Linked DNA regions of Arabidopsis thaliana. The protein of the gene in region 1 interacts with the protein of each later gene in a biochemical or structural test. Each region holds a gene or a part of one and is shown on either strand. Other genes may lie near its edges.

What was found. The genes of interacting proteins can lie anywhere in the genome.
Region 2: the proteins of ABI3 (region 1) and AIP2 form a complex in vitro, tested with the Arabidopsis thaliana proteins (2 studies listed by BioGRID, with this or other methods).

Annotation. Positions count from the first base shown.
Region 1 is NC_003074.8:8,995,798-9,001,740, reverse strand, and holds ABI3 (AP2/B3-like transcriptional factor family protein), read right to left. Parts: upstream 4,372-5,943; 5' UTR 3,831-4,371; coding exon 2,151-3,830; intron 1,951-2,150; coding exon 1,858-1,950; intron 1,713-1,857; coding exon 1,612-1,712; intron 1,479-1,611; coding exon 1,432-1,478; intron 1,315-1,431; coding exon 1,238-1,314; intron 1,126-1,237; coding exon 961-1,125; 3' UTR 556-960; downstream 1-555. UniProt on the Arabidopsis thaliana protein: Participates in abscisic acid-regulated gene expression during seed development. Regulates the transcription of SGR1 and SGR2 that are involved in leaf and embryo degreening.
Region 2 is NC_003076.8:7,092,004-7,096,448, forward strand, and holds AIP2 (RING/U-box superfamily protein), read right to left. Parts: upstream 2,501-4,445; 5' UTR 2,308-2,500; coding exon 2,140-2,307; intron 1,868-2,139; coding exon 1,663-1,867; intron 1,575-1,662; coding exon 1,378-1,574; intron 1,104-1,377; coding exon 891-1,103; intron 810-890; coding exon 660-809; 3' UTR 509-659; downstream 1-508. Other genes in the region: JAZ12 (jasmonate-zim-domain protein 12), read left to right, coding at 102-198; EIF2 BETA (eukaryotic translation initiation factor 2 beta subunit), read right to left, coding at 2,991-3,062, 3,212-3,297, 3,389-3,531, 3,649-3,794, 3,885-3,979, 4,074-4,128, 4,231-4,286, 4,378-4,445. UniProt on the Arabidopsis thaliana protein: E3 ubiquitin-protein ligase that acts as a negative regulator of abscisic acid (ABA) signaling. Mediates ubiquitination and subsequent proteasomal degradation of the transcription factor ABI3.

The DNA.
Region 1 (5,943 bases):
TTTTGAATATCTCAATTCCTTAGGTGCGGTCCAGTTTTTGGGTTTAACCAAAAATAAGAAAGAATAATGATGTATCACAAACAACACACTTATATGAGGAAAATTATAATCCTACCTCACTTGTTTTTTTCCTCCAAAGATTTTCGTTACTCAATAATACAAAGGGTTCAAGCTAACTAGATAAACAAGAAAATGATAGAATCAAAGTGGTAAGGAACAACTCTTCTTAAAATGTCCATATGTAAACATTCTATTTACAAATATTTACAATGTGAATATGTGAATGATATGGATAATTTTGTACATATGTCCATATGTACATTAATTATCATTTTGTACATTAATTATCATTAATTATCATTTTTACTATCATTAAATTGTCCATATGTCCATATTTACAAATAATTTTGTACATTGATAATGATAATTAATGTACAAAATTAATTATCTCAATTCCTTCTTAAATTGTCCATATGTCCATATTTACAAATAATTTTGTACATTAATTATCATTTTTATTATCATTATCAATGTTTGTGTAAAAATATTGTATCATTCAACTCTTCTTAAAACATTCACATTATAAACGATATGTAAGCTCGACTCAAGAAATGAGCCACATATGTAATATTAACCAATTACAACAACAAAAGAACTATATAATCATCTCTCCAGAAATATAACACAAACACCATTTCCAGAATTAATCATCTCTACAATATCCTGAAGGTAAAAAGAGTAAAGAGTTATAAAAGAACCGACTCGACAAGAAAAAGCAAAAAATGGAGTAAAAACCCGGACCCCGACCAAACAGCTTTAATCATGACCCTCCATTTGTCTTCAAGATCCCATGCATGCACGAGAAGTGGCACACTCGGGTACGCTGCCATTTTTTCCTTTTGCCCTCTTTCTTATTTGGTACATAATAATATTTATATTGTTTCTTTTTGTCTCTGTTTTTCATTTAACAGTTTGAGAAGTTGGTGAAGCGACCACCACATTCGCCGACGGAGAGTTATTGTTTATGTTCCTTTGCGACTTGTTTTGTCTCTTCGTAGCTGCTGACGACGGTGGGGCCTCCGGCTTTTGTCCGCTCGGTTGTCTTACTTTAACCCCTCGTATCAACTGTCATAATATTATTCTCAATTAATTATGACAAGATAAATACCAACAAAAGTAATGATGAGAGTTAAATACTAATGAAAAGTATAGAAAAATATTGTGATGCTTCTCTTACATATTTGCCACATTTGACGTCGGAGTATATGACTATGAAATCACCTTCTTGGAGCCCATTGGTTTTCACAAAATCGCCTGTAAACGTAATTTCAAGGAAAATTAGATATGTATGCGTCCACAACAATAATTACAAGAGAACAAACAAACCAAAAGAAAGGAAAATTATTAACGGGTACATTTTCAAAAACGTACCGGTGTTCTCGAGGAGATACATCCTGCTTTTGTTGTTAGGCCAAAACCTGCAAAACCAATTTAAGAAGACAATTAAATAACCGAAAAAACATTTTGGTCGAGTTCCAATTTTTGACAAAATACACGAATTGTTTTTATAAAAAGAATCAATGTTAACATGTTAGCATCATAATCAGTTACCTGTAGCGCATGTTCCAAACACGAGAGGTTCCGATGTCTTCCATGGCCAGAGAGATGCCGTCTCTTGCCTCTAGCTCCGGCAAGTGTGTCTCAGCTTCTTTCTAAAAAAAATAAAAATTCAGTAAAATATAACTTAACCAATAAGAGTAAAAATAAAATAAAAACTTGACAATATTTTTACACAAACATTGAACCTTTTTTAGAAAATGGAAAGCAAAGGCTACAAGAAATTAGAAGAAAAATTACTTTTGGCAAAACGATCCTTCCGAGGTTACCCACGTCGCTTTGCTTCAAGACTTTCTGCAAGAGAAACCGCAAATTCTTTTCTGGTTTCCATCCCTAAAATCAAACCAAAAAGATCAAAATCATTTCATTTCCATTGCAAATGTATAATCTTCCGATTCACATTTTATCAAAAAAAACACATGTAAAATCTTTAGCTTCTTCATCAAACCAAACGAGTGGTGCAATTACACAAACTATTCGAGTATTGCTAAATTAAAGAATAAACAATGAGAAAGATGATTGTGCATGTCTACCTGCCGGCGATCTGGTACCACCTGCTGACGTGGCATAGCAGAAGCTGAGCCAGCTCGGTCCATGGTAGGTAACTGAGTCTCCATCACTGGCGGTAATTGAGGCGGCACTGCCGGGACATTAGGCCAATACATCCAGGTCCCTCCCGTGGCGGTTGTGGCCACGGGGTTAAGTTGTGGAGCCACCGCGGCACAGGTTTCTCCGATTTGGGTTTGGTTCTGCTGATTATTGTTGTTGTTGTTGTTGTTGTTGTTATGTCTGTGGTGATGAGACAAGAACCTCCTCTGTCTCGCCATCCGTTTCTTTCTTGCCTCTTTAGTTGCTGAGGAACACAAACGGAGTAATCTCTGATCTCTCATTTGTCCTGCAGGAACATAAGGATATTGGTACGGATTCATGTTGTATCCATTGAAACCTGTTGGATCTCCAAATTGATTATACTGCGAGGTTGGCGGCATGGGGAATTGTTGATGTGGCATGGGACCAGACTGTGGTGGTGGTGGCCATGACGGTGGAGATTCAAGTAAAGGAAGGAACTCTGGCTGTGGCGGATAGTTTGGAGCAGGCATGTATCCAAAACCCGGGTCCGAGACAAAAGCTTGTTGTTGTGGTGGTGGAGGAACCCATGTTGAAGGTGAGAAACAGGTTTGGTCGGACGGTGGGATTAGGTTGTTGTTATTAGGGTTAGGGTTTTGAAATGGATCTTGTTGGAATGATTGTTGATAAGAGAGGTTGGTGGTGGTGGTGGTGGTGCGTCTTCTTTGTAAGTGATTAGTTTGGACCCATTCAAGAATCAGCTTTAAAAGCTGCTTCATCGCTTCTTTACCACCGCCTAGTCTTCTTGCCGCTGATTCAATCGTAGCTTTCTTTATCTTTACTTTCCTCAAATCCTCAGCCGACACAGTCTCCTTGTTGTTCTTTAGCCACTCCAAAAACACAGCAGCGAGATCATCGTCCTGTTCCAAGGAAGAATTCATCATTTGCATGTCTCCACCACTGTTATTCTCCATCATCGGAACAACGACCTGGTCTTCTTGTCTCTCAAGGGTTTGGTCCATCAAGTTAGGGTTTTGCGTGTCGTCGTCTTGGCTAAATATAGCTGAGGTGTCAAAGAACTCGTTGCTATCAAGTAGATCCATGTACCCGAAAGTCTCCATCATATCAATGCAATCACCACCGCCTTCGCCGCAACCAAAACCTTGACTGCTGTCTAATGGAATCTCCATGGAAGCTGTGGATTGCAATGCACCAGAAGAGTCGTCACAGTTTCCTGATGCGTATTGGTTTTGGTTTGGAGTCGGATCTTCTCCATCTGATCTCAATATAGCCCAAGAAGCAGCTGAGGAAGTGGAGGAAGAAGCTGCCGAAGAAGAAGAGGCTGAGGAGACGATTGCGTTGACAGGAGCTGGAGATGTTGAAGACGATGATGAAGACGACATGCATGGGAAATCAGGAAGCGTTGGGAGATCTCCATAGAAGATTGAAGGGTCATGATGAACAATCAAATCATCATCTTGATGACCATGAACATGATTATTATCTCCTCCATGGTCATCTAACCAGATCTCTCTACCAACTTCATCAATTCCATCCATCAAAACAGTATCATCAGCGTCTCCACCGAGTATTCCACAATCCTCAGCCAGATCTCCGGCGTTGGCCGCCACATGCAAGCTTTTCATCGTTGAAGTGGAAATGAAACAATAAACTAGATTGGTGGAGAGAGAAAAGTTAGGGTTTTTAGTATTTTGTACGGACAGATAGGGTTTGTATGTGAGTAAGGAGGCAAGGAAAAAGAAAGTTAACCCAACTTGGCTATCATCGAATCTTTAAACAACATAAACTATCTGGCTATACATATACATATAAACCTTCTATACTACTATATAATCTTTTGAGATTCAAAAAGAACTCTTGATAAGGTTAAAATTATACAAAAGAGACGAAGGAGGATCCAAAGCATATGAAAAGATCCGACCTAAGCTAACTATTTTCTCCAACTTCAGATGAACAAAGACCAATTGTAAAGAGGTCTAAAATTTTCGAGTCTAGATCTGAAGTATACGAGATGTGTTTTGTTCACAAAGATTGGTCTTTGGTTCTAATAGAACAGAGAGAGATGTTTAGGTTTTACTCTTTTAGAGAGGAAGAACTGATGAACAGCTAATAAGTAATCTAAAACCGTTTGGGTTTACTCCAACAAGAAGACTCTCTCTTTCTTTCATTTTATAAATTATGGAGAGATGGTATATATATATTTATAAAACTATATAATAAACATGGTTAAATCCCTCAAAAAAGAAAATAAATTAAAATAAGAGAGCCCATGTGTTCCAGTTTGTTCCATGATTTATATGGAAGTTTTTTTTTTACTAATATAATTCAATTGTATTGTATAAAATATGTTAGATTAAACTGAACTCTTTTTTTTTTCTGGCGGTAAGTGTAATTTTGGGTTTAAGTTATTCTCTTTCTCTTTGCAGCATTCAATTACCTCAGCAGAAGGAAAAGGAGAGAGACAAGAGTTTTTAAGAAAAAGAGATGTAACAGTTTTTCAGCATTTGATTTTTCAAAGAAGACAAAAAGCAAACGTTTAAATTTGTGGCACTATTGACAAAATTGTTGAGCTCATAATACTTACAAACATTTAAAATTTTATTTAGATAGTAAATCTCCCCTCATCTTCTAAGAAATAAAAACAAAGTTCCTCGAGAGAAAGACATTGGTTTTGAAATTAAATGGTGCAAAAAGCCATATTTAAGTCGATAAAAAAACTTAAAAACAAAGAGAAAATAGAAGTCTCCTCGTGCCGCTAGTATCTAAAGGTTGGTACAGGAGTTTGTGCCCACGAGCCATACGTTCGAATTTGAGTGGTGAGACCAAGCGGTGGTTCTTAAACACTTCTTTTGTATAAAATATTATAAATTTTCCAATTATCAACTTTCTACTTCCTATGTGCAAATGGTCACTTTTACAAAAGTAAGTTTCCTCGGTCGGTTTTAAATTATCTGGCCAAAAAGATTCGAAAAACTTACACTTTCCTATTGAAGTGGAAGAGGCAGACACGGATTTTATTACCCTAGAACAATTACTTTAACATATTGTAGAACAATGTATGTTTTTGTGAGTTTTTTTTCTTCTTCTTTCTTTTCTTTTTTCTGCATGAGGAAAACAAAACAAAACTTTTAGTGTATTTGTAAAATATTTAGTTACAAACAGGGTTCGACCTTGCCTTCAAAATGAGATTGAGCAGATCATGTGATACCTGTTGTAGAAAGAAATAGGTACTTGTATTTATTACATTTTAACACATCAAAATTTTAGTGTATTTTTTTTTCTTGGGAAAATTCCTATTTTCCCGATTACATTTTAACACATCAAAATAGGTACTGTGTTTTATAAATCTGAACAAACAATTAGTAATGTTCATACTTTAACATTTAAAAAATTCAAATTATCTACCTCAACTCTTACTTTTGTACATAATTATGAGTCAACGTTAGTTATGGTAATTAACAGTAACGGTTGTTGAATCAGCTAACACTTGTACGTCGAGATGGCATGTTCTTCAAACCAAATGACGTTGTTTTACGTTTTGAGATTCAAAAGTTTTAAAGGTTACCATTACCATCATGCACGAACATCATCAATATATAAATAATAATTTATAGATATATACACATACATAAATTGGAATTAAAATTAATCATATAACGTCGGTTAGGATTTCCCCAATTCTAAATGACATTGTTTGATTAATTTAATTCCAATTTGTTGCTATATATCTATAAATTA
Region 2 (4,445 bases), on another chromosome or scaffold:
CTTGTTAATGTACCTGTGAGAGACTTGTAAAGACAGATTGATCATAATGTTTAACCTTGATATTGCATCTAACAATAACATTCACTTTTTTTTATCTGCAGATTGGTCAACAAAAACCCTTACCCTACTTCAGACTTCAAAAAGACAGATGTCCCAACAGGCAATGTCTCTATCAAGGAGGAATTTCCAACTGCTTAGCAGAAGATCAAACCTCCACATTAAGCTTATAAGCAAACTAAGTAAAACGTTTTGTCAATATAGTAATTAATATGATAATCTATCATGTACGCTGCTGTGTGTAATGTGTTGTATGATAGTGTCTGTATAGGTTTGCTAGACAAACCGAAGATTGTTTCCATGTCTGGGAGTGGTCAGATATGTTTGCCATTTTACAATTCTACTGAAGAAACTATTGTAGTTAGTAACACTGTCCTAGAGTCTATCTAACTAATGACTCTTTGATGTTATGTTATTGAACTTGTCATCTCTTCAAGATACAATTGTGTGTAAAGTAAAGAAGTCTGTGTTGTTATTATAAGCTTTCATACAAAAGACATTGAATCTATATGTAAAATGGGATTTATAATTGTGAATGATGAACAACAATTCGGAGATGTTTCAAGGAAAGACAATGGGAGTGTGCCATAACTGATTGAAATTTAAACGTACATATATTCACCTCCGCGGACAGCATTCTCTGCGCCCTTCCTCTCTTCTTCGGCCTCTTTCTCTCTCTCTTTCCAGTTTTCGTATTTCTGATCGTCTGTTGGTAATTCATGGCGGCATATAGGGCAAGAGTTATGCTCGTCCTGCCATAAAACAATATGAGCATAAGCTTTATGTTCTTACTTACTAGTAAGCTTGAAAGAATGGGATTTTTTTTTTTATACCAGCCAAGGCTTTAGGCAAGGAGGGTGAAATGTGTGCTTGCATGGCAATTCCTGCATCTTGTCGCCAATAACTAGATTCTCCTTGCAGATGCAACATTCTGCCTCTGCTCCAAACTTTTTAAGCAATTCCTCGGTGAAAATAATGACTGGGAGTTTCTCTACAACTTCTTTACTTGCCGGTGGAGCTCTTGGTGGTCCACCATCATCTAGTATCTGCATAGAACACATCATATATCACTTTTCAATCATGAAGCTAAGAAAAAGACGCTACCAATACAATATTAGAGGTTGAGGTTAAACACTCTTGATACAGATGAGTGAGACAACCAAGTGGAGAAACTCAATATGCAAAAAACAACATATGAGTAGAATGCGGATGATTAAGAATTGCTTTCATCTCTATCTTTAGGTGAAGAAACTTGTGATATCAGCTATGTGTGATAGTACATAATCTAAAACTAGTAAGGAAGAAAAGAGAAGGCATTACATCTGGAATGATCATGTCAAGACCATTGATAAGTTCTTGCATCAAGTTAGCAGTTTCCCCAATAGTGTTTTCAGTAGGACCATTAGAGGATTCACCACCAACGATAGAAGCGAAAGCAGACATGAGATTCTGCTGTACTAGCCACTGAGGCTGTGGCGGCTCACGATCAACCGTAAGATGTCCCTCAAAAAGATAACCTGCAAAAAATTCACAAGAGAAATAAAAATCATCTCCAGATAAATTTCACTTAAAACCATCAAAAGCCAAACTAAATGTTTCACAAACCTTGTGAGCTCTCTGTTGGCTGATTATCTACTTCGCTTAACTGCTCCTTAGCTTGAGCAACGCAAGATTTCAAATGTTTCTTCTCAGAAGCATCAGAGACAAGTCGCTCAGCCTCTTCGAAAAGACTCAGTCCAGCAACCCAAAATCCAGTAGCTGTATATCTTGTCTTAAGAACCGTAGCGACACGAGATACAACTATATAGAACTGCAATGGCAATCAAATCAATACTATGTCACAGAGGGTAACTAAACAAAAACAGATCGGATTAAATGAAATTTTTGACATGAACATGAACTTTCTCCACAATTGAAATAGAAAAACAATAAAAGAAAGATATTTGATTCCTGATTCAATCCTCAAAAGTTAAACCCATCATCAGACATAAGCAATGAGTAAACGTCAAGGCAGGCATAAACCCTAACAATTCCGAATAATTTTGAATCTATTGATCCGAAAATCTAAGAATAAAAACCAACCTGTTTGCGGAGAGAAGGAGAGGAAGAAGAGTAGTGATCACGGAGAAGATTATGAATAGAACAAACGGATGCTTCGAATCTCAGCTTTTTGTTCAGCTGTTTCTGAAGATCATCAAGCTCAAGCTTCAAGCTTTCCTCGGAAGGAGACGGTGAAGACGATGCATCCATTCAGAAATTTATTTCTTAGAGTTAAGGAGAATACTCAGGGGTTTCGAATGATTTTGGGGATTTTGTAAGAATGATGCAAAAGAAGAACCAATCTCTTGTCTTCTGGGATTTTTGTAGGAGACGAGTTTTCTTGATCAGGAGGAAAGGACGAAGTCGGTCGGTTAATATAGTTCAGTTCGGTTTGGTTCGGTTCAAGACCAAAAGAACAATTGTTAATTACCAATTGTTCGGTTTGGTTTGAGACCAATTTTTTGTTGGTAAATACTAAATCGTATGCGGCTATATTAGACCAAACCGTATACATTATTTGTTTTTTGTAGTATGATTGTAACTGTAGATAAACATAGTGTATATTGGACTTTCTGAGCCTTCCACGCTTTAATTTGAGATGTTGAACGCAATGCCTGTGGACGTTAATATCATTAGTCTATTAATTTTGAACTAAGAATAATCTTAACACAAAAAAGAAGTCCATGGATTTACTAAATCAACCTTCAAGGTGACCACATGAACCTGACAGAGTAAAAGGTTTTGATCCTATCCCATTTTAAAAGTCAAGTCATAATCATATTCCAAAACAAAATAAAAAAAACAAGACAAGTATTTCTTCAACTCATAAACTCATACAGAAGCAGTAGAATAGCTCCAAACTCCATACCAAGGTCACTTCACCTTCTAATTTCTCAAGTCTTCCTGCGACTAACACGAGCAACAAACCCTGTTTTGATCGGAGCCACAGATCGTTGAGATCCACACTGCAAAAACCATGTAGCCCACTCGTTAATCACATTAGCAAATTCAAACACACAAAATACTTTATTACTTTGTTGCGCAGAAAGTAAAACTGTAAAACAGAAACAAAGGAATGCATATCAAGATCAGGACTAATTAGATTAACTTATACCTTTTCACATCTCAGAAAGAAGAGACGGTTCTCCTTGGAGAGAATGGTGTCTGGGCTCTTGCAACCAAGGCAAATGACGTAGTCAGCTGAGAAATAATAAAACAAGAGGTTAACAACTCCAAACTGATATACTTTTATGGCAACTTAAATTTTGAGACTAAGAAGAAAGTTACTTACTGATATATCGCCGCAAAATTCCTTCAAAATTCTTAGGTGCAAACCTTCCCTTAACAACCAACCTTTGCTGCCCATCAAGCGAACCACTAGTACCCAACTCAGCAAGCAAGTATTGCATAACATGATCTGGTTGACGATGCATCCTGATTTTTTATATGCAGATAAGACATGTCATCGAAAAGTCATCAAAATTAAATGGTAATATTACTTATGGTTACACAGAAAAAGTTTGAAGAGGAAGATAAAGAGTTAGCTCATACGTCTTGCAAAGGTCCATGAAGTTGACAAAGACAGTCTTCTTTGTCCCCTCACGAAGAACTTGAGGAGGCCTCATAACTGTACGACGCCTATCTCCAGCAAGCTCCGGATTATTTTCACGGAGAATGTTAAAGACTCTACCAAGAAGCTGCATATATAACTCCCGTCAGCAAAAAAACAAGGGAGCAAGATATTTATGAAGGATTAAAACAAAAGAAATCATCGAAAATATAGTCACCTCGTCATATATGTAATCCCTCTCACTTCCCTCCCAGGGGTAACGTTGCTGTAGAACTATTCCTTCTTCCCCCTCTTGCTCGTCATTAGCAATCTCTGCAATATATTCTCAGTAAGATTCAAACAGGATAAAAACCCCGCCAAGAGAAAAGGTATATTAGCAAACAAAAAAAAAGGATATTAAAAGTACCATCCAAATCTTCCCCAGCATCAACACTTTCGTTGTTCAATAAGCTTGATTCAGTCTAAATATCAAACAAGAACAAATGTGAGTCACAGAATCATCAAACACACAAGTTTAATGACATAAAAAAAATACTAGGCACAAAACGTAAAACAATACTCACTGGCTTCTTCTTCTTTTTCTTCATTCCAGTAAATGAACTCTCAAGACCATCATTAACTGCAAAAACAAGGAATTAGACAAAGTAACACAAAAGACCATTGAAACAAAAAAAATGTTTCACATCACATTGACTCTTCATCATACATACCAGGCAATGAATCAGATTTCTCAGTCTGTGAAGACTCTGCTAAGTCCTCGACAGGTTCCTGAATCACA